7 linked regions of the Mus musculus genome follow. Each later gene encodes a partner of the first gene's protein in a complex. Links are inferred from orthologs where the notes say so. Each region holds a gene or a part of one and is shown in the gene's direction. Other genes may lie near its edges.

What was found.
Region 2: Brd8 (region 1) and Ing3 share a complex: the UniProt entries of both Homo sapiens proteins name them as parts of the SWR1-like complex. The link is inferred for Mus musculus from reciprocal best matches to the Homo sapiens genes BRD8 and ING3.
Region 3: Brd8 (region 1) and Epc1 share a complex: the UniProt entries of both Homo sapiens proteins name them as parts of the nuA4-related complex. The link is inferred for Mus musculus from reciprocal best matches to the Homo sapiens genes BRD8 and EPC1.
Region 4: Brd8 (region 1) and Vps72 share a complex: the UniProt entries of both Homo sapiens proteins name them as parts of the nuA4-related complex. The link is inferred for Mus musculus from reciprocal best matches to the Homo sapiens genes BRD8 and VPS72.
Region 5: Brd8 (region 1) and Anp32e share a complex: the UniProt entries of both Homo sapiens proteins name them as parts of the SWR1-like complex. The link is inferred for Mus musculus from reciprocal best matches to the Homo sapiens genes BRD8 and ANP32E.
Region 6: Brd8 (region 1) and Mbtd1 share a complex: the UniProt entries of both Homo sapiens proteins name them as parts of the nuA4 histone acetyltransferase complex. The link is inferred for Mus musculus from reciprocal best matches to the Homo sapiens genes BRD8 and MBTD1.
Region 7: Brd8 (region 1) and Morf4l2 share a complex: the UniProt entries of both Homo sapiens proteins name them as parts of the nuA4 histone acetyltransferase complex. The link is inferred for Mus musculus from reciprocal best matches to the Homo sapiens genes BRD8 and MORF4L2.

Annotation. Positions count from the first base shown.
Region 1 is NC_000084.6:34,600,836-34,604,614, reverse strand, and holds part of Brd8 (bromodomain-containing protein 8), read left to right. Parts: coding exon 1-17; intron 18-730; coding exon 731-908; intron 909-1,838; coding exon 1,839-1,943; intron 1,944-2,367; coding exon 2,368-2,412; coding exon of another isoform or gene 2,413-2,481; exon of another isoform or gene 2,482-3,440; intron 3,441-3,779. UniProt on the Homo sapiens protein: May act as a coactivator during transcriptional activation by hormone-activated nuclear receptors (NR). Isoform 2 stimulates transcriptional activation by AR/DHTR, ESR1/NR3A1, RXRA/NR2B1 and THRB/ERBA2.
Region 2 is NC_000072.6:21,970,015-21,973,793, forward strand, and holds part of Ing3 (inhibitor of growth protein 3), read left to right. Parts: coding exon 1-93; intron 94-1,092; coding exon 1,093-1,294; intron 1,295-1,796; coding exon 1,797-1,835; intron 1,836-3,568; coding exon 3,569-3,685; 3' UTR 3,686-3,779. UniProt on the Homo sapiens protein: Component of the NuA4 histone acetyltransferase (HAT) complex which is involved in transcriptional activation of select genes principally by acetylation of nucleosomal histones H4 and H2A.
Region 3 is NC_000084.6:6,445,823-6,449,601, reverse strand, and holds part of Epc1 (enhancer of polycomb homolog 1), read left to right. Parts: intron 1-344; coding exon 345-697; intron 698-3,779. UniProt on the Homo sapiens protein: Component of the NuA4 histone acetyltransferase (HAT) complex, a multiprotein complex involved in transcriptional activation of select genes principally by acetylation of nucleosomal histones H4 and H2A.
Region 4 is NC_000069.6:95,120,987-95,123,775, forward strand, and holds the end of Vps72 (vacuolar protein sorting-associated protein 72 homolog), read left to right. Parts: intron 1-275; coding exon 276-420; intron 421-1,392; coding exon 1,393-1,792; 3' UTR 1,793-2,065; downstream 2,066-2,789. UniProt on the Homo sapiens protein: Deposition-and-exchange histone chaperone specific for H2AZ1, specifically chaperones H2AZ1 and deposits it into nucleosomes.
Region 5 is NC_000069.6:95,927,775-95,932,254, forward strand, and holds the start of Anp32e (acidic leucine-rich nuclear phosphoprotein 32 family member E), read left to right. Parts: upstream 1-1,482; 5' UTR 1,483-1,822; coding exon 1,823-1,876; intron 1,877-4,480. UniProt on the Homo sapiens protein: Histone chaperone that specifically mediates the genome-wide removal of histone H2A.Z/H2AZ1 from the nucleosome: removes H2A.Z/H2AZ1 from its normal sites of deposition, especially from enhancer and insulator regions.
Region 6 is NC_000077.6:93,884,618-93,889,067, forward strand, and holds the start of Mbtd1 (MBT domain-containing protein 1), read left to right. Parts: upstream 1-1,553; 5' UTR 1,554-1,778; coding exon of another isoform or gene 1,779-1,799; exon of another isoform or gene 1,800-2,456; intron 2,457-4,450. Other genes in the region: Utp18 (U3 small nucleolar RNA-associated protein 18 homolog), read right to left, coding at 717-1,040. UniProt on the Homo sapiens protein: Chromatin reader component of the NuA4 histone acetyltransferase complex, a multiprotein complex involved in transcriptional activation of select genes principally by acetylation of nucleosomal histones H4 and H2A.
Region 7 is NC_000086.7:136,738,412-136,742,739, reverse strand, and holds the start of Morf4l2 (mortality factor 4-like protein 2), read left to right. Parts: upstream 1-1,387; 5' UTR 1,388-1,530; intron 1,531-1,584; exon of another isoform or gene 1,585-1,794; intron 1,795-2,845; 5' UTR 2,846-2,935; intron 2,936-4,328. UniProt on the Homo sapiens protein: Component of the NuA4 histone acetyltransferase complex which is involved in transcriptional activation of select genes principally by acetylation of nucleosomal histone H4 and H2A.

The DNA of each region.
Region 1 (3,779 bases):
CATAGCATTGTACAGAGGTAAGCCATCATTCAACTATCACACCTGACTTAAAATTTGTGTTGATTTAAGTGAATTTTTGCCTTATTTAAAGCAAGGGTGGGTTTTTTGTTTTGCTTTTTTTGTTGTTGGTGGTGGTGTTTTGTTTTGAGACAGGGTTTCATTATATATAGCCCTGGTTGACCTGGAACTCTCTATAGACCAAGCTAGCCTCAAACTCACAGAAAGTGAGTAATTTCTGCTTCTGCCTCCCCAGTGCTGAGATTGTTGTTTTGGTTTTTGTTTGTTTGTTTTTGTTTTGTTTTGTTTTGTTTTTCCGAGACAGGGTTTCTCTGTGTAGCTCTGGCTGTCCTGGAACTCACTTTGTTGACCAGGCTGGCCTCAAACTCAGAAATCTGCCTGCCTCTGCCTCCCAAGTGCTGGGATTAAAAGCGTGCGCCACCACCACCGGCCCAGTGCTGTGATTGTTAAAGGCTTATATTGCAGTGACTGTGTTGTCATTAATAGTGTAAAAGAATGAGCACCTATCATTGTTTTTCTTGATGCCTATTATGCAGATTGGCTTTTTGGGGAGTTGAGTATAAGCTCTGGGATAATGGGTTAGCTTTTAAATCTTGGTAGCTGATACTGAAGGTATCTATGAACAGGACTGTATAGTAATACTGTGCTTGGGAATCCAAGTGAATCCTCCTCCGTGGCCACTTACCCCTTTATTATTTATTTATTTATTTAGGCCTATGGATTTGTCAACTATAAAGAAAAACATTGAAAATGGACTGATCCGAAGCACAGCTGAGTTTCAGCGTGACATCATGCTGATGTTTCAGAATGCTGTTATGTACAATAGCTCAGACCATGATGTCTATCACATGGCAGTAGAGATGCAGAGAGATGTCTTGGAACAGATCCAGGTACATTGATGCTCATTTTTGTTTCAGTAGGGATGAAATGCAGAGAAGAATTGATGAGTTCATTGGTAAATATTTTTATTTCTTACTGAAGTTTTATAGATTTGATTGGTTTGATGGAAGAATTATGATACAAATTCTATCTTTTTGGGCTGGAGAGATGGCTCAGTGGTTAAGAGCACTGACTGCTATTACACATGTCCTGATTTCAATTCCCAGCAACCACATGGTGATTCACAACTATCTGTAATGAGATCTGATGCCCTCTTATGGTGTGCCTGAAGATATACATAAAATAAACGTCTTTTAAAAAATTGTATTTTTCTTGGGCAAATGAATTCCGTTTTTGAAGGTTTTTGTTGTTGCTGTTGTTCTTGTTGGCAAGAATCTAATAAACCAGTGCTTCACAGGTCACAAATCTGGTGCCTGTGAGCTACGTCACACCCTCCACACACCCAGCTGACGGACGACGTTAGAGTCAAGCCCAGGGCTTCATGTCTGCTGGACCAGCACTGTCCATCTAAACTGTATCCCTAGCCCCATTGGAAGTTTTCAGATCAATGTATAAAGGGCTAGTGTTATTAGTTACATAAAATACTGTGGCACATGTATTCAACCAAGACTTTATAACCCCTAGTTATCACAAGTAGTCTACTTCAATCTTACAGTTATAACACTGCACACCCTTTGTGATGTTGATCTGGAAGCAGTAGTGTATCTTTGTTAAGTTTGCCATGTGACTTTAATTGCTGAAGGCTCTTTGGCTTATTTTAAAGCTTCTTTTCACTTCTAAGTTCTTTAGGAATAGCTAGAAATTAGCCTTTTAGTAAGCCAAAAAGAATTGAATAAGTTCTGTTTATAAAATGTGAAGTATGTTAGTTCTTTCCTACTGGATTGGATCTTTATGGCCTCCCGTTTTTCTTCTCCCTACAGCAATTCTTGGCCACACAGTTGATTATGCAAACATCTGAGTCTGGAATCAGTGCTAAAAGTCTCCGGGGGAGAGACTCTACCCGAAAACAAGATGCTTCAGAGAAGGTGAGCAGACCAAAATAAAGTTCAAAACATCCAGAGAACCTTAAGTTACTCTAATACTGCTAACCTTCTGTAAGCCAGTGGTATCTGCATGGATGTTAGAATGGCGATGGCTTGCTTCTGTCTAACTGTTGAAGAAAGCTGCTGTGACTGAAAGTACCAGTTCCATGGGAGATAGTTAGAGCCCAGTGAGTGAATTATTAACCCTCCGGGAGAGTGCTGTCGGGGTTGGGGATAGATTAGTTCACAGCAGTTGGCTGCTAGATACGGCTAGATGGCTGTGGGATCTCTTTCCTCTTGTTCTTGAGTTTTAAAATTTTGTCTTTGTTTTGTGTGTATGGTGCTTTTGTCTCTGTCCTGAGGTTTGGGATACTTGTGGCTGAGAGTTTCTGTGGAACCTGATCAGTATTTGTTTGTCCTCTAACAGGACAGTGTCCCCATGGGCTCTCCTGCCTTCCTTCTCTCTCTCTTTGTAAGTATTGAATGGCTGCAAGTGGTGATGTTGCCAGAAAGATTCTCAGCTCCTGCTGGGCCTGGGTGACAGAGGGAAATCCAACATGCAGACTGTGGCAATGTCTTGAAGTTCTTTTTTTATCCATTGAATAGGAAACTCTTTGTCTTCTGCATTCTGGTCTCTTTGCTTGTGTGAGTGTGGCGGGGTTGGGAGGGGCAACTTTCAAGATCACTGGATTGGACTATGAAATATTCTTGGGGTAAAGACCTAGGATGCACCTGCTCCTCATTTCTTGCTTCCACTTTTTACCAATTCTTAACTTACAATGGAAGACAGCTCAGAGCAGCAAGGGCAGGTGAGATGATACAGTGGGTACAGGCACTTGCCATGGTAGTCTGCTGACCTGAGTTTGATTCCCAGTACCCCACTGAAGGTAGAAGAAGAATGCTCCACAGAGGTGTCCTCTGAACTCCACATGTGCACCATGGCATGTGTGCTCCCATACATATGCCACATACAATAATAGTGACCACCAGATACAATAATAGCTTATGGATTATAGATAAACACAATAGATCTAGCCCCAAGGCTTTTGTTTGTTTATTCCATGAGTTAAAAGACTGACCTTGTTCATGGTAGAGCAATGAAGTGAGGGAAAGACCTTGCTCAAAAACTATGGTTCTACGATCACTGGATAACCTTTGAGAGCCTTAATTTTCCATCTATGTGATAGAAGTAACTATGAGTTGAAAGGCAGGAGAATTGCCTGCAGAATCAATGCATACGTAGTACACAGAGTAAGACCTTGTCTCAAAAGAAAACATGTGGGAATACTAGAGAGGTGACCCAGCAGTTAAGAACGCTTGCTGCTCTGAGAAGATCTGGGTTGGGTTTCCAACAACCACCTGGTGGCTTACAACTGCCTGTAATTCCAGTTTTAAGGAATCCAAGGCCCTTTTCTGGCCCTCACAGGCACTGTACACTTGTGGTGCACATATACACATGTAGGCCAAACATTCGTACATATAAAATGAAAACAAGTCTTTAAAACAAAAAAAAAGAATAATTGAAAAAAAAAGAGTAAGATTGAGATACCTGTCCAGCCTACCTCACAGGGATGTTGTGAGGGTAAAATAAGTTATGAAACTAACTTGAAAACAAATTAAAATCTTACACAAATGCAAGGTGTTATTTCTATTCTTACTGTTGGCTATTGGCAACTTGTGTTCTAAAATTTTTTAATCCTTGCATATTAGAAATGCAAAACTGGTCTGGTCCAGCAAAAGTGTTCACTAGTTCATCTTGCCTGTAGAGCTGTACCACGGGCAGAAGAACACCGTGATCTCTGTTCTTTCTTATTGGCCTGCAACAGTGACTGGATCCTC
Region 2 (3,779 bases), on another chromosome or scaffold:
AGCTGGCTACTCCTCCTCATCGGCACTCATGACAACCTTAACCCAGAATGCCAGTTCCTCCGCCACGGACTCGCGGAGTGGCAGGAAGAGCAAGTAAGTTTCCCATGGCAGTGTGTGTCTTTGTTCAGGGTTGTTGTGTGGAGCTGTATCCATACATCTCCAGGGATTAACCACAGCAGGGTACAGTGATCCAGGCTAAACACTGGATAGGCAGTTGGCTCTCTGCACTGCCTCACCTTGAAGGCAGGAAGGAAGTCTTTCAACTGTTAGAGTCATTTGTAATTGTTCTCAGTTAGTATGTAAGTGACTTCTTTTTACTTTCTTTTGTTCTTTCAGATAAATCATTTTGTGTCACTATTCCTATTTGTAGTTTAGGTGTTTAGAAACCCTGTTGTCTGAGCTGAAGGAGGAAAAAAAGGTGCAAATGAGAGACCAAAAGAGTTAGTTATATAATAATGCATTTTATCTTTATTTTAAATGTATTACTTCTCTACAAAAATCTCCTGAAAGAATGATCAATGTAAAGTCTCCACAGAACTATTATACATCTTAAAATTGATATGAATTGCCCACATTTAGTTGAACTCCTTATAATAAATTTCTGCATGTTCTCTGGAATAGAGTTGGTGGTAAACAGTTGTTGAATTCTGATACTCTCAGATCCAGCTATACTTGATAGGCATAGGACACATGCCAACTGATGTTAGGACTTTGCCAAATACTTTTCTATATTTGTACTTAGGTTTTGATAAGAACTCTTTAATTTACTGTAAAAACATTAACAGTGTGAGATGGTGTAACTATTATTCTTGAACACTACCAAAAATTTTAAGTCAATGGTAGATAGTAACCTTAATTTAGAAATTATCTTTAAAAGTTGAAACATTTTAAGAGAATTTTCTTCTATTTATTTTAAATAGAAGATTTTAAGAATATTTCCTTCTTAAAGGAACTTATTCTCCAGAAAACAAAAATTGTAAACCTAGGGTCAGACCTCAGCGTGTCCTTTCCTTCTGTGTCGGTGACGAGGAGTCACTCTCGGGGAACCGCCCCAGTGAACAAATGCAGCTAATCTGCCTGTAATTTTTTCAGAAACAACACCAAGTCTTCAAGCCAGCAGTCGTCGTCCTCCTCCTCCTCGTCGTCCTCTTCCTCCTTATCTCTGTGTTCATCGTCTTCAACTGTAGTACAAGAAGTTTCCCAGCAAGCAACTGTAGTGCCCGAATCTGACTCCAACAGTCAAGTCGATTGGACTTACGACCCAAATGAACCTCGGTATTGCATCTGTAATCAGGTAAAAACATCTACTGCGTGTCTATAAAAGTGTAGTCTGAAGAAACAAGAAAGAAAACTGTTTTAAAATCAGCACATTTTTATGCTAACTAAAATCAAGAATGGTTTACTTATAATTTTTGTCTTATAAAAGTAGTATACTTGCTATAAATACCAAGAATCATGAATTACGTGTAATGCCAACTTTCCCATACAACCTATGGTGAGACATTTGATGTCACAACACATGTACCCTGCATGCATGATGTAATACACCACTGGCCCTGTGGCCTACACAGCAGAAACTCCTCCCTGTGATGGTGCTAGAGACTGGGAGACCCGTGACGAAGGCGCTGGTTGACTAGCTACCTGTAAGGCCAGTCTGTGAGTTTAAAGGCAGTGCTTTTCTACTGAGTATTTATGAATCAGAGAGAAGAAGATCATATTGTGCGGTTATGCAATGTGCCAACTTCTTAAATGCTTGTAACATACTTGTAATGTTTATCTAATTTTCTTTGAACCAGGTATCCTATGGAGAGATGGTGGGATGTGATAACCAAGATGTGAGTATTGCATTTTCCTATATTGGGATGTAAAAAGGTGTAGATGACTGAGTATTTGTCTTATTAATTCTATTTCCCAGTTTGGCAATCAGGTTTTCATTTGGGATAACTACATTATCCTGATGAAAGCATCTACATGGCTTTAATGATTTTCCTGCTTCAGTGTTTCAAGGTGGCACTACTCGTGTTAGGTTCAGATTAAATTCACAAGGATTACTGTTGGCAGTTCGAAGTGCTTTCTTTTCTTTCCGCCTAAGATACTGTATTTACCAGAGTCCTGGTTGTTTATCACATTGAAGAAGTGAAACTAAAAGGATGCTCAGGGATAATTAAGACCTAATGTGTGGTTATTTCCCTCGTTATTATAGCATTCGGCATTCTCTCCACAAGGGGCTTGGACTGTACAAGCCATCTCTGATGGGAAACTGAGAGGAGATTTGAGAAAGGACTCCTGCTTCCTGTGCTAGGAAGGGTATTAGTTACTTGATAAGAACACCGTGACAGAAAGCAACTTAAGGCAGGGAAGGGTGTCTCTTGACTTACAGTTCCAAAGGGAACACAGTCCATCTTGGCAGGGCACGCATGGCAGCAGGAGTGTAAGGTTGGCCTGGTAGTCAGGAAGCCACCTGATTCTGTTTCACCCACCCAGGGCAGGCAGAAGGGAGGCAGCAAGTACAAGTGGAGGCAGGGTTTGAAACCTCCAGTCCACCCCAGTGAAGCACTTCTAGCAAGGCACCCTGTCCTAAAGGTTCTAGAAACTTCCTAAACAGTGCTACTAGCTGGGGACCAACTGAGCTTATCAGGGGAATTTCATATTCAAACCACAAAAGGGATTTAATTTTGGATAAAGATGCATGTTTGATTAAATACTGTTTGATTGTCTAGGGATTTTGGCTCATTCCTTAACTGCCCTACAGCAGTTTTGTACCTGCTACTCCCTTTTGTACCTGTTGTACTTCAAAGGAGTAGCATGAAACTTGTGACCTTGGTGACACCAGTGGTGTCAGAATTCTGATATTAACAAGAGTCACAAGGACAGTTGTGTGTGTTCCTTCCCTGACAGGGTGGGTGCACTGTGCTCTTGAGAAGGGCACAGTCCCTCCCCAGCTGTCCCGTGCAGTCACTTGTGTGTGTATGTGGGGAGGTGTTTTAAAGCAGTGTCCTCTGGGGTCCCTGTAGTTCCTCCAGTGCTGTTGTGGGTATCAAGCCTTCCTGTGGAGTGAAGAATTTTTTAATATTTCAGAGAGGAGGGTTTCCTCCATATCTCTGGATAGAGCACCAGAAAGGAAACACAGCCAGTTGATGGCTTTAGTTACAGCTAGCTCATTCCACTTCCAGAGAACAATTATGGCTGGATATTTTTAAGTCTTTTACATGTTTTCCTTCTTCATGTAAGATTCATATTCTTTATTCTTTGGAAGATGGCACCGCCTGGCGGCTGTCCAAGTTGATGGCAGCAAATAAATGTCCATTCTTTAGTGCTCAGGTACTAGAGTCCATGACGTCTCTCTTATCAAAGAAGCATCCTTTTCCTGGGTGTCCATGTTTTCATCCATGAGGCACATCTGTCAGACTCAGTAACGTTTAGTCACTGCCAGGGTCCAAGAAATCTGATCGCACAGACCTAAGTTTGGTTAAATGAAATACTGTGTGTCCTAAGCATTTTTTTTATTATTATTATCTGTTCTTTAGAAATACCAACTCCCCTTTTTTTTTTAAATTTTCTCTTCCAGTGTCCAATAGAGTGGTTCCACTATGGGTGTGTTGGCTTGACCGAAGCGCCGAAGGGGAAGTGGTTCTGTCCGCAGTGCACCGCTGCCATGAAGAGAAGAGGCAGTCGGCACAAATAGAGAGGGACTCTATTGTCACTGCAGGAAGGAGGAACTCCAGCTCGCCATTTTATACAGGACGCTAGGAGGAAAGACACGAGGACGAAGAAGCAGC
Region 3 (3,779 bases), about 28 Mb from region 1:
TTATCCAGCATTGAGATTTGAGGCTAAAAGAACCAAAGCCAACAAGATGACTCAGTGGGAAGGAGCATTTGCCACCAAGGTGACAGCCTGAGTTCTGTCCCCAGGACTCACGTGGTGGAAGGAGAGAATCAACTCTTGGGAATTGTCCTCTGGCTGCTGCATGCATGTGTGCTGTGCTATGTGCCCTATGCCGTGCACGCACAGTGTGAAAGAGTCAAATGCTGCCGTGGTGAACTTGGCAACTTTTAACTATTCAGTGTACTGGTGTTCAGCTTTAGGGGAAAGCGTTCGGAACAGAAAGGAAGAAACTTTGATGTAATCTCTGGTGTCTGCTCCTTGTACAGGGTCGTGCTGGACAGAGCGCATTCAGACTATGACAGTATGTTTCACCACCTGGATTTGGACATGCTTTCCTCACCACAACCTTCTCCAGTCAATCAGTTTGCCAATACCTCAGAACCCAATACCTCGGACAGATCTTCCTCTAAAGACCTCAGTCAGATACTAGTCGATATCAAATCATGTAGATGGCGGCACTTTAGGCCTCGGACACCATCCCTGCCTGACAGTGACAGTGGTGAACTCTCCAGTAGAAAGTTACACAGGAGTATCAGTCGAGCAGGAGCAGCACAGCCTGGGGCCCACACGTGCAGCACCTCCACCCAGAACAGAAGTAGCAGTGGCTCAGCACACTGTGGTACGTTCATCTGTGGTACCCATTGCTGTACCAGGGCGGGGCCTTCCATCTTGTTGAGGATGTGGTGTTTTATTCTCATACTGAGATGCTTAAGGATTTCTTTGAATTCTCCTCAGTAGTGCTGTTGCTCTGTGAGTTTGTGTGTGTGTATCTTTCCTTAACCACAGCCAAAAAGAGGTGGTATGTGGTATGTTAATACATATTTAATGTTTAATTTGTTACCTTAAGGCAGCCCATGAACCACAAGATTGATTTTCAAATAATAAAATAAAAGGGACCCCAAGTTGTTAGTGGTATGTACTTGAACATCTAATCCGGTCTGCTTAAATTTTGTGGCCAGTAGTCAGTAGTTACACGTGAACTTACACTGACACTCGTTCAGAATAAAGACCAGAGAAGCTGACTTAATATTTTGGAGACATTTTTAGATAATCCCTACAGGGTGACCAAAACACTGGAAACAGTGCCATGCCCTGTGACTTTCTATTTTAAACTACTGAGTCCACATTATCTGAGTTGTTAAAATTATAAAAGCTTACTGTCAGCGTGGCGCAGCAGATTAAGATCCCGAGTGCCAAGCCTGACAGCCTGAGTTCAGTGCCCAGGACCCACACGGTAGAAGGAAAGGGTCCCACTCCTTCAGTTTGTCTTCTGGCCTCTGGACATGTGCTGTGGCATGTGCATGCACACACTCATACATACATACAATAAATGAAATCTTTTGGGGTATTTTTACTGGTGGTAGTTGTTTTGGTAGGTATTCTGAAAAAGGGTTTCACTGTAGTTCTGGCTGTCCTGAAACCACTTTGTAGGCCAGGCTGGCCTTACACTCAGAGATCTGCCTGGTTCTGCTCCTGAGATTAAAGCAAGCACCACCATGCCTGGCTTATGTTTACAATATTTTAAAATCATTTCATTAAAGTTCTTTTAGGATGATTTTAATACAGATTTTCTTTTTTTTTTTTTTTTTTTTCTCTTTTTTGTTTTTTGAGACAGGGTTTCTCTGTATAGCCATGGCTGTCCTGGAAGTCACTTTGTAGACCAGGCTGGCCTCGAACTCAGAAATCCGCCTGCCTCTGCCTCCCAAGTGCTGGGATTAAAGGCTTGCGCCACCACCACCCGGCTAATACAGATTTTCTAAAAGAGGATTGTTTCCCTAATTACATAATTAGGTTACAATTAAAGTGTTTTTGATTGATAGATAGATAGATATTTATTTACACTTAAAATGTTATCCCCTTTCCTGGTTTTCCCCTCTGAAGACCCCCTATCCCCTCCCCTCCCCTCCCCCCTGCTCACCAACCCAACCATTCCTGCTTCCTGGCTCTGGCATTCCCCTACACTCAGGCATAGAACCTCCACACAGGGCCAAGGGCCTCTCCTCCCATTGATGACCGACTAGGCCATCCTCTGCTACATATGCAGCTGGAGCCCTGAATCCCACCATGTGAACTCTTTGGTTGGTGGCTTAGTCCCTAGGAGCTCTCGGGGTACTGGTTAGTTCATATTGTTGTTCCTCCTATGGGGCTACAAACCCCTTCAGCCACCTGGGTACTTTCTCTAGCTCCTCCATTGTGTACCCTGTGCTCAATCCAATGGTTGGCTGTGAGCATCCACCTCTGTATTTGTCAGGCACTGGTAGAGCCTCTCAGGAGACAGCTATATCAGGCTTCTGTAGTTTGGGGGACTTTAATGATTGTAATTCCACTAATTTTACTACTCTTTTTCTGTCCTGGATAGTCCTTAAAGTCAGGCTGAAGAGCTGGTGTAGTGAAGGCTTAACTGACACAGGTGTGGGGAGTTCAAAAGTGGAAACTCTTAATTGGTTCCCCAAAAATATTTTTGAAGATGTATGAAATTTTTTTGAGATTTTTATGGAGAAAGTAGCTATGTTCTATCAACCCACATCATGTCGCTCCTGTGGTGGAGACACTGAAGAGCATGACAGACCTCCAGATTGCATTTCAGTCTATGGAACGAGGTGTGCTGGCATGACTTACAGAGGCATGTCAGTGCCAGTTGCAAACTTTGCTGATTTGTCTCCCAAACATCATTAAAAGGTAGACATTAGCAAAAGTTACCCAAAAAAGCCTTTCATAGTTATGCAGCTTTTCTCCATAATCATCATTTGATAGTAGGGCCTTTTTAAATAATATGTTTATTTTCAAATATACTTAGAGAATAAATGCCTACAGGCTACCATAGAGTTACACTCTGTTTTCTTATTGGGATAGATATTCATGAGATCTGAGGCCCTCTCTGTGGCTCTACAAATTATGTCATATGTGCATTTAACATAAGTGAGGTCTGCTAGCTGCCCCTGAAGACAGAAAAGACAATCCAGCTATTTGCTTGTTACATGGGAGTCGAAGTGTTCTCCAGAGACAGCCTAGATCTGCCGAGGGTCTCATGAGTGTCAGCCAGGTCCTCTCCAAAAGCATCAGCAGGCTAGATCTTAGCTGTGCTGACTCTGCCATCCTGTCAGATGGACAGGAGTCAGCTTCAAATGTAACCACTTCTGATTATTCAGTTACTGACTCTGATTGAATCGAAACTTACAAGTGATGCACACCCCCACCAGGCTCCTTTTCTAAGTAGTTATTAGTGAATTGTATACACATTTTTTAATAGGAAATTCCAACTGAAGGTACCAGGAGTGTACTCACTTCCTCAAAGAGTGCCCAGTTGTAAGGCTTCTCACTGCTCGGGGTCCCTTCAGCTTGCTACTCAGTCTTGGCCATTTCACAACTCTGCACCCATGGAGGGTGTTCTGAGTAGGGTGTGAGGTAGCCTCCAAGAAGGTAATGTAAATGCTGTGTCCCCTTTGTCCTGTGTGTCAGAAGGGGAGCTTGGGGAGACTTAGTGATGGGGACTTTGAATGTCTAGGGCTAGATCTACATAGGGGTAGGATAAATTGTTTTTAATGATCGTTAGTTAATACATGATTTGGACTGGTTTCAAATAGTTTTCTGGGCTTTTATTAAGCTATAATAGCATCTTTTCAGTGTTTGCTCAGTGGTTGAGAATCCATCTGTTCTGTGCATTTGAAATTGGAGGGTTATCAAACTACAATAATTAGATG
Region 4 (2,789 bases), on another chromosome or scaffold:
AAAAAAGAAACAAAGAAACAAAATCACAGGACAGAGCCCAGAGAGCTGTGATAGCTCAGCAGGTAAAGCAGTTGGTGACAGCCTGAGTTTAATTCTTGGAATCCACACGATGGAAGCCGAGAACTGACCCTAGCACATTGTCATCTGACCTCTCCACACATGTGTTCATGTACATACACTCTTGAAAATACATATGTGTAATTTAAGTAGATGACAGGCCAGAGTGTGGGAAAGGAAAGCTGACCATTCTGTCGTTTCTCCCTTCGATCCTGCAGAGACCTATGAAAGGCTGGAGGCTGACAAAAAGAAGCAGGTTCACAAGAAGCGGAAGTGCCCTGGGCCAATAATCACCTACCACTCAGTGACGGTGCCGCTTGTTGGGGAGCCCGGCCCCAAGGAGGAAAATGTGGACGTGGAAGGGTGAGTGAACCCCGTGCCCCCGGCTTCTCTAGGAGTTTACTTTTCTCACTGCACACATTCAGACCTCAGCTCATTCCTTCCCTCTGCTGGCTGCCAGCACCAGGTAAGTAGTCTCTGAGCGGGGAGTGAGGATGATCAAAGAGAAGACAGCAGACACAGGACAAGAGAGGGGTCTGTCAGTGAGTACTGTAGTAGCCCAAGTGTAATGCGTGTAGCCTTCTGATACCGCAGTGTCTCAGGATATAAAACTAACAAGCTAGCAGAAACAATTGCTGCCATGTATATAGGGTATCTGATCTCATCCTGAGGCCTCCCTGTTCCTTCCTCCGAGGTTAACAGAATGTTTACCTCTTCCTCTCAAGCCTTACGTGTATCTCTTCCTAACGTTTTATGTCAGCAGGCCAGGAAATCTGGCAGCAGACCCTGACCTGCCTTGACTCTGCCTGGCGGGCAGACTTTTACTCTACTTGAGAAGCAGACAAATGGCTCTGACACTTCCTGTTGTTTTGTTTTGAGTTGGTCTTACTCTGTAGCTCTGGCTGGCCTGGAACTCCTTATATAGCCCAGGCTAGTATTCATGATCTACCCGCCTCTTTCTCCTTAGTATTGGGGTCACAAATGTGAAGCATCATGCCCAACTTTTTATTTTATTTTATTATTTGTTTGTTTGCTTATTTATTTATTTTATTTTAATGTATATCAGTGTTTTGCCTGCTTTGTCTGGCCTGGTACCCATTGAAGCCAGAAGAGGGTGACATATTCCGTGTAACTGAAGTTACAGACGGTTGTGAGCCACTGTTTGAGTGCTAGGCCTCAAACCTCTATCCTGGGAGAGTAGCCCAGCTCTTAACTGCTGAGCCATCTTTCCAGCCCCATGGCCTGGTAAATACTGAGGTCACAGCCAGCAAACCTAGCCTACCACCTTCCTTTGTCTGTCTCCGCAGCATTTTGTGACTTTTCTCTTGCCCTCAGCCTTGATCCTGCTCCTACAGCCTCTGCACTGGCTCCACATGCTGGGACCGGGACTGGAGCTGCCGCTGCCACCCCTCCTGCTCACTGCTCTCGCACCTTCATCACGTTCAGTGATGATGCAACGTTTGAAGAGTGGTTCCCCCAGGGGCGACCCCCGAAGGTCCCGGTGCGGGAGGTCTGCCCAGTGACCCACCGTCCAGCTTTGTACCGGGACCCTGTTACAGACATACCCTATGCCACTGCTAGAGCCTTCAAGATCATCCGTGAGGCGTACAAGAAGTACATCACTGCCCACGGACTTCCACCCACCGCCTCGGCGCTGGGCCCCGGGCCCCCACCCCCCGAGCCACTACCTGGCTCTGGGCCTCGAGCCTTGCGTCAGAAGATTGTCATCAAATAGAGACACCTGACCCCTAGACAGTCCCTCTCCTGACCTGGCTCTCCACTCCGCCCTCCCTTCTGCCAACCTTCGCCCTTGTTTCCCTCAGTTCCTCCCTAGTTCATTTCATTTACTTGTGCTCTTCATTTTTTTAATCTAATAAAATGGTAAAATCCTTTTTGTCTGATGTGTAAGGTTGGGGCAGAGGCAGGGGGATTTCTGAGTTCGAGGCCAACCTGGTCTACAGAGTGAGTTCCAGGACAGCCAGGGCTAAACAGACAAATCCTGTCTTGGAAAAAAAAAAAAACAAATAAATAAATAAATAAACCACAAGTTCTTGCTAATTTATCCAGACTAATTTCAGACTCCTGGGCTCAAGCAAGCCTCCCATGTCAACCTTCCAAGCGCTGGGCCTAGAGGGGTAAATCACTGTTCCTGCTCTGTCCTTTTAAGTAGCATGTATTTACTAAGTAGTGGGTGTCATAAAGATGCCTGCACTCATGTCTATCATTTTTATTACACTTACCTGGGTTATCCATATTTAACTCTCTTAGTCTGTCTTAGTCAGGGTTCCTATTCCTGCACAAACATCATGACCAATAAGCAAGTTGAGGAGGAAAAGGTTTATTCAGCTTATACTTTCCACATTGCTGTTAATCACCAAAGGAAGTCAAGCAGGTCAGGGAGCAGGAGCTGATGCAGAGGCCATGGAGGGATGTTACTGGCTTGCTCAGTTTGCTCTCTTACAGAACCCAAGACTACCAGCCCAGAGATGGTCCCACCCACAAGGGGCCTTTCCCCCTTGTTCACTAATTGAGAAAATGCCTTACAGCTGGATCTCATGGAGGCATTTCTTCAACTGAAGCTCCTTTCTCCATGATAACTCCAGCCTGTGTCAAATTGACACATAAAACCAGCCAGTACATAGTCTCTTAAATACCAGAACAAAATCCTTACACTGAGTGTGTGTGTCTCTGTATGTGTCTATGTATACAACCACGTGTCGGGTGGTGCACCT
Region 5 (4,480 bases), on another chromosome or scaffold:
TGTTTTGTACTTTTCATCTCCCACCAAAAAAAAGATAAAAATAATATTTTGAAGGGAGAAAGGATTTGTTTTAGTTCACAGATCTTGGTATAGTTTATCACAGAAGGAATTGCAACACATGGCAACTAAGAAGCAGAGAAAAAGGAATCTAAAAGAAATAATTACATAGTTTCTGTTGTTATTGTTATTTTGTGACAGAGGCTGGCCTTGGATTTACTTAGTAGATGACTGTGGATCTGCCCCTCTCTCCCTTCTGAGGGCTATGATTAAAGGAATGTTGGATCTTTCAGGAACATTAAACAGAAAAAAAAAGTTTTGGTTTTGTTTTTAATTTACTTATTTTGTTTTTGCATATCCGTGTGTTTTGCCTGCACGTACGCACACACAATGCATCTGTGCCTGTGGCCTGTGGAGTCCGGAGGATGCCTCTGAATTTCCTGGCATTGTAGTTATGGGTGATTATGAGCCACTATATGGGTGCTAGAAATCGAACCAGGGTGGAACCTCTGCTAGAGGTCATTGCCTCTCCATCCCCTCACACTTAAAAGAACATTTTAAGTAGATTCCTGTAGGAAAGGAGAGGCCTTGCTGGACAGTTTCTGATAATTGTGTTTCTTTAGGCCTGTGTTATTTTTCCTCTAAGGTGTCAATTTTGTTTGTTTGTTTTTCTGTCTTTTGGAAACAGTCTCTCCCCACCCCACCCCCCTTTCTGTGTAATCCTGGAACTCGCTCTGTAGACCAGGTTGGCCTCGAATTCAGAGATCTGCCTGACTCTGCCTTCCAGTGCTGGGATTAAAGGCGTGTGCCACCGCGGCTGGCTCTAATATTCCAACTTTTTAGCAGTGACAAATGACCTCAGTATCAACTCCTCCTGGACAGTTTTATTTAAAGGCTTCTGACTCAACGTGCTAAACTCAACTCTGCTTTCAGAGCCGTTCCCCCCTTTATGTTGGAAGTTAAAATACCTTCTTTATCACGCTCTGGTTCTACAAGCAGTTCGGGACGGGGAGGTGTCACCAACACGCTGTTCGCGCTCGCGCCCCTGCTTACACTTTAGCCGCAGAGCAGAAGGCTTGTGCTTTAAGACCACCGAAAGCTCTGGGTGCAGTGTGTTGCATGACCCACTTACAACTTGGGGATGCCAACGACGCCTTTTCCCTTCCTTTTAACCCTGAAGCCAGAAAAACCCCAAACAAACAAAAACAAACCCAACAGACACCCAAACCGTCCTACTACCAAGGGGAAAGCGCGCCAATCACACAAAGAAAAGGAGGGGGGCGACTGGGATTCAAAATCATTTCTCCGGGACGTACATCCTCCCGAACCTATCGGAATTAACTGCGCGCCTAGTCAGAGCCAATAGACACTGAGTTTCTGGTCCAGGTCCCCCCTAAAGACAAATGGACAACCCTCTAGCCCAATGGAGTCGTGTGACGCTAAGGACTCGACCAATCCCGTTGGGAGGTGGGTGGAGTGTAGGCTAGGGGGGGTTGGCGGTGCCGTGTCATGGAGGCTCAGTCTCGCAGCAGCCATTGAAGGGGAAGGAACTGCGGGCGCGCGCGTGTCTCTCTCCCTCACTCTCTCTGTGTGAAAGTGTGTGCGTGCCCGAGTGTGCGCGCGCGGGTGTGTGGACTCGGAGGTGGGGGCAGCCGAGTTAGTCCCAAGTCGTCGGACTCCATTTGCTATTCTTTTCTTTCTCTCCCACACCCGTGTGGTAGTGGGCGTTCGTCTTTGCGTCTCTTTTCATTCATCTCCAGACCTTTAGAGGTTTTTTTAGGGTTGGGGATAGTGGGGAGGGCAGGCGAGGGGAAAGGAGGAGGACATGGAGATGAAGAAGAAGATTAACATGGAGTTGAAGAACAGAGCCCCGGAGGAGGTGAGATGACTCAGCCCCCATAGTCCCCTCCCGCCCTGGATCGTGAGGGGTGGGCTTCGGGGGTCCGGGTGGGTGCGCAGGGCGGGCTGGGAAGCGCGCCCCCACTTGGGGTGGAGGCGGGGTGTTTATTTTAAGTTTTAAATCACCAGGCTCTTGTGCTTAAAATGGCGAAGGGCTTAAGTTTCTAGGGGCATTTTCGTGAGCGCGCGGGGGCTCAGCCCCATGGCGTCCTCGCAGACTGGTGGCCCGGCATCGCGGGCGCGGGCGGCGTGGGCGCGACCCCCGGGTCCTCGCCACCTGCGAAGTTGGTGTAACTTTCCCGCGGCGCCGCCACTCGGCCGGCCGCGGCCCCGGGTGTGGGACTCGCGCCGATCTGTGCCCCACGCTCCCTCCGACCGTGCCCGCTCGCGGGCAGCACGCGCCGCGGCCGGGGCCGCAGCGGAATCCCGGGACCCGACGGCGCGGGCCGCGATCCGCGTGGCGCGCGGACTTTTACGCAAGCTGGAGGCTTGTGCGAGCCTCGCTGCGCTCAGTGCGGTCGTAGGGAAGAGTCCCGAGTCTTGAAGGGGGCCCGGGAGGCGTCGCCCCGACTCCCCGCCGTCGGATTCCCTAGCGGTTTACGCCAGGTCCGCGGGTCTGGAGATTGGCCGCGGCGGGCGGGGACCAGGCTCGCTGATTCGCGGCCGCGGCGTGAAATCGAGGGACAAGGGGTCCGCGCCGCCGTGGTCCCTTGACGCCCGCTCAAAGGCGGGCATCTGCCGGGCCTCCACAGTTATCATGCAGAGCCAACGGTCCCTGAGCCCTGCTGATTTTCGTGGTTCCTTTGCGGGTTTTGGTGACTGGAGGCGAGAGAGAGGTGGTGGAAACATTGTTGCTGTGAGGGTTATCTCTGGGAGCAATGGAAGTTTTCTAGAGCTTCTTAGAAGATTCTAGAAAAACTCAAAAGTTGAAAGCTGTCAGCAGGACGTGGTGAGTGATATCTGTAATTCTGTATATCTGTAAATCTGTACTTCTCATATCAAGAAATTCCCAGCCCTTGGGAGGGAGGCCGAGGTAGGACGCTGGTTGCAAGTGGGACTCTGTCAAACAAGGCAAAGCAAATCAAAACAAGCAGTTTCTCAGAAGTCTTGTGGAGCAAAAATGGGTCGTCCCCTCCGCCCCATCCTTTCACCTTCAATTTGGAGGATTGCTTGACATGCCTTTTTGCAGTCTCTTTCCTTTGGTGTGGTGTGGTAACAGTTAAGTTTATATAGATAGTTTATAAGGCACTCCCATTTATTTACTTTCTCCTTGGGAAAATGTAAGCTGGGTTGTATTGTTCTAGAATCCAAATTAGCAAATAGGAGTAAAGTTGAAGAGCTGGGATTCTGACACTAGGTCTACAAAACTCTTGCTGAGCTCTAAGAAGTCTCTGGTTAAGACCAGAATCCAAAGGCTTAAGAATTGCTTGGCGTGGTAGGCATTTAATTCAAGGCAGAGGCAGGCAGATCTTTTTGAGTTTGAGGCCAGTTTTGAGTTTGACTACAGCTGTCTCAAAAACGAACAGCCAGACGGTGGTGGCGCATGCCTTTAATCCCAGCACTCGAGAGGCAGAGGCAGGTGGATTTCTGGGTTCAAGGCCAGCCTGGTCTACAGAGTGAGTTCCAGGACAGCCAGGGCTACACAGAGAAACCCTGTCTCGAAAAACCAAAAAAAAAAAAAAAAACAAAAAACAAAAAACAAAACAAAACAAAAACCAAATGAACAAGTCGGAGATAGTGTCCCACGAGCTGTTAATCCCAACAGCCAGGAGGCAGAGGCAGGCAGATGGATTTCTGTGATTCAGAGACCATGCTAGTCTACAGAGCAAGTTATAGGACAGACAGGGCTACACAAAGACCATGTCTTAAAACAAAACAAAACAAAACCAAAACCCAAACAGACTTATCAAAATGTCCCTACCTGACACTAATGGTGTGACGTAATGCAAGTCATTTTGCATACCTAGGCTTCCCTGAGGCTATAACAGGGATATCTTTGTACCATTTCTGCTCATTTAAATAATGCCAAAGTTACACTCAAGTAGGGAAGATGACAGTCCTTGTTGCCTTTAAATAGACATTTTTTTTGCTCTGGGAATAGAGAACCAGGGTTTGCTTTTGTGATTACATCTATTCAGGTGCATAGGGTAAGTTTTGTTACTATATCTCAGATCTGTGGCTCAGTGGTTATGAGCCACCACTCACAAGGTGGCTTACAAACTCCCAGGAGTCCAACTCCTTTTCTGGCCTCTGAAGGCACTGGGCACATATGAGGTTCATATGAGGAAAAATGGATACACATTAAAAAATAAATAAATAAATTTACTGCCCAGAGATATTAAGAAATCCCCTTCTGGGCCGGGCGTGGTGGTGCACGCCTTTAATCCCAGCACTTGGGAGACAGAGGCAGGCAAATTTCTGAGTTTGAGGCCAGCCTGGTCTACAGAGTGAGTTCCAGGACAGCCAGGGCTACACAGAGAAATCCTGTCTCAAAAAATCTAAAAAAAAAAAAAAAAAAAAGAAAAAAAGAAATCCCCTTCTGAGCCAGAGAGATGGCTCAGGGGTTACCAACACTGGCTGTCCT
Region 6 (4,450 bases), on another chromosome or scaffold:
ATACTTTAACTTTACTAGTCTTGTCTCTTTTATCTTGCTTTTTTACCACTACTAACACAAGTTCCAAGAGGGGTTCTTGTGGGATTCCTCCACTGCTGTGTCTCTACCCTTAGTCCAGGGACCAGGTATAGAACAAAAATAATAGCGCAAAGAGCATCAATCAGGAAGGATTTGCAATTGTTACAAGAGCTAGCAACCAAAGAAAGGTTAGAGATGAATACACACTGATCGTTCTCAAAAGCTGGGCGTGGGTATCACCCCGCGATGTTATTAAAATGCAGCTTTACGCCTTCTGCCCACGTATTGGTTCCATCCACTACGCGGAGTCGCGACAGGTGATCAAACGGTCACCCCTGTGGTTCCAGCAGAGGGTGTAAGAGCCCGAAGATGAGCGACTCTACTTTGCAGACATCCTTTGGCAAACCAAGCCGACAGTTGAGCGCCTGCTGGATGCGAAGCGCCGCAGCCCCTTTGGGGCGGAGAAAGGCAGCGTCCCCGCCCTCGCCAGCCAGCAGCCCAGAACCCGAGGCGAAAGAGCCGGACGGCGCCCCTCGGCGCCCGCGGTCGCCGGTCCCTCCCACCTGAGCACTCGCCGCCACAGGTCCCCCCCACCTCCAGGCTCCGCCCCCGGGGCCTCGCCTCCCGCCGCGCGCCCCGCCAGAGCGTGTGCCCGCTCGGCAGGCAGGCAGGCGGGCAGGCAGGCAGGCCTTCCTCACCCGCGAGCTCCGCAGCCGCTGCAGCAGCGCGTCCTCGTCGTCCTCGACATCGCCGAAGACGAGCTGCTCCAGGCAACGCTCGGCGGCCGGCTTATCGTCCTCTAGCGTCAGGCGGTTCCGCTGCCGGAGCCGGCTCTCCTCCTCCTCTGCCGCCGCCGCCGCGGATCCCGCGCTAGGGGCCGCCCTCGGCTCGGCCGGCTGTGTCCGTTGGGATGAACGGGCGGCCTTTGCGGGCGTGCTGCCGCTCCCGGGTCTGGCTTTCCTCCCCGGCGTTGCGCCGGCTCTCCGGTCTCGTCTCGTCCGGCTCTTGCGTTCGGGCGGCATCCTCAGGGCTGAGGGGAAAACGCCGACGTTCACGTGGAGTACCACTGCGCATGTGCCGGGGCGGCTCGCTCTTCTCCTCGGCCCGGCCCCGGGGAGCCGGAAGGAGTCTGCGCCGCCGCAAGCCACGTGACCGGCGCTCGCGCGCTACGTCACTCCCACTCCGTCCGGCGGCCCCGCCCCATGTGGGAGTTCCTCAGGGAAGGCCGATCTTCCGGGTGGAGGGGGAAGCGGCGTGACTGGAGTGGAAATTTTTCCCAACACAACTTCTCGGAGGCAACATATTGGAAGGGACTCGGGGAGGCCGGAGTCCAAATGGAAGTGGCTGAAAGAAACTTCTCGCCCTGCTGATTCTGAGCCCCGCGTCGTGCCGCGCGCCCTCAATTACCTCATCGACTTGTGGTCTTGGTACGGTCCTTAGAGTACGGCGCCTGCCGAGGGTCCCACGCTGGAGGGGAGAGAGGAGGGTACGTGGGGGAAGTGGGCCAATCGGGGCGCGGGTCACGGCGCAGGCGCGCTGGGGAGGGAGGGCTATGCTAATGTTGTTGATATCCTGGGGCCACCCGAGTTAAAAGGGGGGAAATCCGGGGGCTGCCACTGCTGTCGCTGGCCCTGGCCCAGCCGGGGGTCCCCCCTGTAGTCGCCGCAGTCCCGGGGAGAGGCACCGGCCCCCTGCTCGCGGGGGGGGAGGGGGCGCCGCGGGCTCGGGGAGCACGGACGGCCCCTACCCATGAGGCCCTGATGGAAAACACAAAGGATCTGGTGAGAGCCGAGCGCAGCGGCCGCTTTGTGTGCCAGGTTTGAGGGGGGGGGGCACGCCTGCGGCTGCCCGGCCCCCGGAACGCCGCAGCTCGGGGACCCCACTCGCGGGCCTGCTTCTTCATCCCACGCCCCCTCCGTCTCCGGAGCTCCCCTCCCCCTACTGGCCGTTAAACGTTCAGGGGTTCCCCTCCCCCCCTCAACCCCTGACTTAGGGTTCTCTTAGGGAGAAAAAAAAACATAAGAAAGTTTTTCCTCTGCTCCCTCCCAACCCCGTTCTGCTTGAAGGGAAAGATTAGATAGGAGACTTTGCCTTTTTTAGCTGCCAAGGGTGGGAGAGTGGTTTCTCGGGGGTGTGGGGGCAGGAGCATACAGAGTTTCGGGGCTTGGCTGGAGACGGAGCCCACCATTGTAGAGCCAGCGCCGAGAGGCATTTTGCACGTGGAGGTGCTGATACTGAAAGGGGGCGGGGTGGGCACGTGTGGGAGGGAGACGTAGGAGTGGTATCGGGGAGTCAGCCGCCAAGGCTGCTACTTGAGGGTTCCAAGTCAGTGGGCTTCCACCATCCGTACGTTCTCCTTTGTGAAAAAGAAATCCTGACATTTCAGAGTCGGAAGAGACACTAGAAGTCACCCAAAGCAGCCCAGCTTCTGACGAGTGGTAGGTAGTCTGACCTCTACTTAACCCTACATCCATATACCACGCACTGCAGCCTAGGAAAGCACCTTCGGTTTCTTTCAGTCTCTGATATTCACTTGCCTGCCCTTATTAGACCCTTCAGTCTCATTCATGTCGTGTCCTGGTTAAGTTGCTCCCTTTTTTACTTCTCAAATTTGTTCTCACATCCTCCTCACCCACCCACTGCTCATTGGCCTATATTTTGTATGCCAGGAAAGAACATCAGGGAAGTGGAGGGAGGGGGATGGGGAGAGTAAAGAGATGGTAAGGGCCAACTGAAAACTTTGCTGGGTCGGTATCAAGTGTGCTGCTTCCATGACTAAAGATGGTTGAAACTATTCCCTGGGAAGCCAGGGAACTGCTATGTGGGGGTTTCATGACTGTTTCACAAGTAGTCCTCTTTGCGATGAGGACATTTTTAACACCATATCCTTGGTACTGTCAATGTACATTATTTGCCTTTTGCTAAATCACTTTTTCTAAGAACGCGTAAAATTGGGCCTGGGGGAGGAATAGTACTGAAACTAATAAATACAATACTTGGAAGATACATGATCAAAACTATTCCTTCTCATCATTTTGACTCATGGTCTTTGCAAACCCATGCCCCCTCCAAAAGGAAGGCCCTTTCTCACAAATGCTTCTTGTAACGTTTATTTATTTATAGGATAGGATGCTGTTGGGGGGTGGGGGCGGGGGTGGGGGTGGGGGATCAGAGAACAGGTGGAGGTAGTCATCTTAACTTATGCCATGTGCGAACCAGGAATCAAACCCAGGTCATCAAGATTGGGAGCAGACACCTTTAACCTACTAAGAACTTGCTCGAACCTGCCTGTCTTCCCCTACCCCCACCCCACCCCTCATGTGTGTAAGTGTAAGAATTCTTAGACTTGAAATGTTTGTTACAATTTATTGTTTACTTTTGACTTTTTAATCTTTTTTTTTAATTTATTTATTATATGTAAGTACACTGTAGCTGTCTTTAGACACACCAGAAGAGGGCGTCAGATCTCTTTACGGATGGTTGTGAGCCACCATGTGGTTGCTGGGATTTGAACTCCAGACCTTTGGAAGAGCAGTCGGGTGCTCTTATCCACTGAGCCATCTCAACAGCCCGACTTTTTAATCTTTTACCCCTTACATTAATATGCACCAGAACTTAGCACTTAGTAGTTAACTTGCAAATATATATTGGCACCCACTGCTGTGCTTAACTCCCAGGAGTTGCTCCTGATACTGGTAAAGAAAAGCAAGCGTCTTCCTGTTCCCCAGTCTGTGGTAGAGGCTGGTGGTTTGCTCTTGTGTGTTTCAGACTGTTTACCTCACACCAAGGAGTGTTTAGAAAGAAAATAGCTGGCTTTTTGCACTGTCTCCTCTGAATAACAAATAGCTTCTATTTATATGGAAGCCCATATTGAAGTATTGCAAATGCCTTGCAGATTAGAGCAGATGCTGTCGCAAATAAGTGACTGTTCTTAATGTCTCTGGTGAGCCAGGGTTTCTAGCCATTTTCTTTCAGGGCTATTCACTAGTGTTTTAGCATGGATTTGAATCCTAGCTGTAAAAACTTAGAGCTATTTACGCACCAAAGTTTCAGTCAGTATCGCCTTCCAAAGTTTTTTCCTGCTAACTTTAAGCATGAACTGTCATGATAAAATTTGACTTTAAAAGCATTTGCATGCTAAACATACTAGACAGGAACAACTGGTTTTATTTTTAAAGAGGTCATTACTCTGTTTTTTATGGTTAGCTATACATGGATCTCATTATCTGTCTTCCAAGATATTTGGGTGTTTCCCTCATCCCTTAGTTACTTTTGTAAATAAAGACAAAGCAAATTATTTTAAATTGTGTTAAAATACAGCATTCAGACTCAGAATTGCAGTTTATGAGTAAAAACAGCATGTTAATGTCATAGTCATTAGAGTATGAAGTGACTGAAAGTACGAAGTGACTGAAAGCCAGGATTCCTCAGG
Region 7 (4,328 bases), on another chromosome or scaffold:
GTGTGCCAATTTAGCGATAAACCTGGTGAGGGGGCATAAGGGAGATTCGCAGTAAATTTGGTGAAGGGCAAAGGGGAGGCCTTGGGGACAGAGAGGAGGGGGTGTACAACTGGAAACTTGAAAGAAACGCCCTTTTACGTTACTAATATAGTTCTGAATCTTAACCATGGAAGAAGTTTATTTTGGTGGACTATAATGTGGGAATAATGATCATCTCTAGGGTCTAAAATTAAATCGGACTGGGTGGAGTGGCGCATGCTTTTAATCCCAGCGCTCGAAGGCCGTGAAGGGACAGGTGGATCTCCGAGTTCCAGGCCAGCCAGGGCTACCTAGTTACAACAGGCCTCAAAAACAAACAAAAAAACGAAAAAAGGCAAAGAAAAGAAAGGAATTTGATTAAATCGGCAGGCCTTTTCTTACAGAAGCCCTTTCCTTTAGATACTAGCACTGTCCTAGTTATTCTCAGTTTTATTAATGCAGTTTGCAAACATAAAAAAGGCAGAAAAATCCACCAAAATGAGGGACCTCGCCTACGCTCACGCGCGCGCGCGCACACACACACACACACACACACACACACACACTCACACACGGCCCCTCCCGTCCCCACCAGGGCAGCACGCCTGCGCACACCCATCATCGCCAGCGCCACGAGGGCGGCTGTGCGCCCACACCCACACTCCACAGCCACGCGAGCCTGCCTGCGCCCGCGTGCGCGCAGACACCCCGTTTCTCCAAAGCATCCAGGCATCCGCCCAGTGGCACTCACCACCCTCACACGCCTCACACCTCAAAACCTTCACCATTCCTTTGCCTTTGGTTTTTTTGGGGGGGCGTTGGTGTTTTTTTTTCCTCTCTCCCCAGGTCCGCGAGTTGCGCAACAGGCTCGGGGGCGTGGCCCCGGGTCTGCCCTCGCTCTTCCCACTCGCGGGAACCTTAGCTCATTTCCGCCTAGCCTGTTTCCGCCAGCCACGTCGGCACTTCCTTTCCCAGCGGGGCGGGGGCGGGGGAGGGGAGCGGACCCACAAACCCATAATGCCTCCCTGCAGGAGAGAAGGCGAGCGCGAGGGGGGGAAAAAAAAAACCCACGGTCAGGGGAACTCTGGGTCGTGAAGACGGGCCACGTGAACGCGCTGCCCTATAGACTTCTGACCCAACGGCTGGAGCGCACTTGGAGGGCGGGCTAAGATCCTAAAAGAACCATCGCCATTGGCGGGAGCCCTCACTGAAGAAGGATGCTAATTGGTTTGCAGTCGGCCCTAAGCATGAAGAAGCAGGTTGCTAGCACCCGCCTTTACTGCGGCTGAGTGTCACTGCTGACGTGGGGGCGGCTGTCCAATCATCTGGGTATGGAACATTCTAAAACTCAGACAAGACGGCTAGGATTGGCTGATGGGCTAAGCCCGCCTCCAGGGTGACGTGTCTGCCTATGGATATCAGTTGCCAGAGAAACCTGGCTTTACTATGGCGGTTGGAGGAGCAGCAGTGATCACACGTCGGCTGCTGGAGAGAGCTGGATTCTCGTTTCAGGTTTCGGGGTGGGGGTGGGGAGGAAGGGTAGATGATTTCCTCTTTTCTTCTTGACTTATGGATAGGATTAACTCGTGCCTTCTCATTCAGGAAAAGCGGAATTCGTATTCCTGCTCGCCAACGCCCAGCTTGGGCAAGGCTCTTTTCTGTGTCTCGGTTTCCATGTTTGTAAAATGGTAATAGTAGCTATCTCAGACGCGGATTCAGATGTGCCTAGTAAAATAGTGCGTGTGAGGCATTCGGTGTGAAGCCTGTCCCCGAAAGGTAGTAGCAATTGTTACTAAAGATATTTCTAGAGGCGATGAAAAATTTTAAATTACGCAAATTTGCTCGATATCGTATCTTTTTCTGTACATCATCCTCTTTCTTAGAAGAAATTATGACGACAGGCATTTATTAAGCCTTCCTGATAAAAATAATTGCTAGCTCATAATTGCTAATAGAATGTGGGGGTCGGAATTTTCCCACATTAAGTCAAAAAGAAAAAGGATGTAGGGGGGGAAAGCGATTGAGAACGACCTCCTGAAGCACATGCGAGGAGTAGGCCTTGTTTGAATCCTGATTCGAGCACACCAATTGTAAAATTTTCTTGAAGACGTATCGGGGATTTTTAAATGCAGGATTAATATTCTTCAATGAAATCGGTGTCAAATTATTAATTTTTTTAATGCTTATGGTGGCGATGTGGTTCTGTTTTCAGAATGCTTTATTTTGTGGAAAGAAATAGAAATGCTTAGGGATTAAATGATGTCAGAAAATGGCTTCAAAATCCATGGATGACTAGGGTCTGCTTCAGGATAATTTCAGCGATAGACAGCGAGGGGAGGGGTATCATCAGGACCCTAGATTAATCATTTAAAGTGAGGGGTGGGCAGATGGGGTTTCCTGGATTTGTCTTTTTTTCCCATGGTATATATTTGAAATATTCTGGAATTCTGAAGTCATTTTTTTCCCGATAGCTTAAAAAACCGTGGGGGGGGGAGCAGTGGGTGGGGTTACAGATGAAACAAGATGGCCTTCAGTTGGTAATTGTTGGAGCTGGATGAAGGATTCGCAGCCGTTTGTACTGCTGTTCTTTTACAATTTTATTTATTTCACATTATCCTTAATAGAAATTAATTAATTTTTTTCCAAAATTGATAAACATACAAGAAAGTACATTTATCTGAAAATAAAACTACAAGAAAAATAGAATTTCTACATTATCAGCTTTGATGTCCTTTGTGTGAGATAAAATTTTATTTACTGATGGAAAGGAAAGTCACCATCTCATATCTTTTTATGTCCTTTTCCATCTCTTTGTTTGACCTTCTAGGTCATCATCAGAAAAGCTAAGTTTGCTATACAGTAAGGATCAGGAGATCTGACCCTGGTTGCAGAACCATTCCTGGTTGCAGAATACAGGGTAAGTGCCTTCCTTCTGGCCTCAGTTTACAGACCAGCTATATCACAACCTTCTTAGATGTGTAGCAGTATTTTGAAGATTAATAAGCTGCCATCTGAGAAAGTGCTTTAAATTCTGAAAAGGGAAGGATAAACAATATAGTCATGCGTAATCTTATTCTCTTAATTAAAAATTAGTGCTCTATGAAGGCTTCACACTTCCAAATATTACATTATTTTTCTCTACAGCAAATACAGATTTGATGGATTTGATTGCTGGCTCTTCGACTTTCTGTGTAATTCTGAGCAAGAAACTTCCTTTGTTCCAAGATGTCTTCATAAAAGTATTTCCTGTAATAATACTTATATGGCTTTAATAGTCATGAAACATTTTATGTATATATAAAAGCACATTTTTGTAGAGAAATAAATAATATTTTCTTGGAATTATTTTTTTAATTAATATTGTTGGTTTCTCTCATTTTCCAGAAGCAGCCATTAACTACTAGGACTGACTTCTGAAATTAAGACTTCTGGTTTTTCCAATCAATCTTTAAAAAATAGCTTTAAGGCTATTTCCTTATGAGGAAATTTCCAAGAACTATAATTTTAGCTACCATATCCAGCATGCTAAGCAATCTTTATGTAATTTTCCTCCTTTGTTCAGACTGGAGACCATCAGTTGGGTTGCGAGTGTAGCCCAGTTGGTAAAGTTGCTTCCCCAGCATACATGGAGCTCCAGGTTTGAATCACCAGCACTGCCCAGACCAGGCCCAGACAGTGGCACATGCTTACAATCTATTAGAGGATAGAGGCAGGGGGGTCAGAAGGTCAAGGTTGACCTCAGCTATCTAGGAAGTTTGCATCTAGCCTGGGATATGAGATCTTTCCTCAATGTTCATTTTTTTAGACATGTAGAATGTTCCAGTATCCATATGAGAAAGCTGATATGTACTTGATTTTAGGCAGAGACCAAGAGATGAAAACATGGTCTAATTAATGTGCCCCCCTCACTTTTAAAGGGCTTGTGACACACACAAAAGTACAATTGGAGTCTGGTTACATGAACCTATGAAAGGAAGGGGTGTGCCTCAGTCTCTTCACAGCGACATTTTTAAAGGAATTCTATAATTGCCTTAATTTCTCTCCTTTGTAAGGACTGTGTTTAAGGGGAAGGCAGTTTCCTGGCAGAGAGGCAATTTAGAGAATAAGTGAGAGTTGATCCATAGTAGATCTATAGATACTGGCAAAGCAGAGGCCAGAGAGATCTGAAATGGGAAAGCCTCAAAGAGAAGGCCCTTGCCTTGGACCTTTGGGACTATCTGAGTACAGTGGTACTGAAGTAAAAGGTGAAAGGATGTAAAATCCATGAATGACCACATCACAAAAATTCATGAATCAGATATATGGCTCAG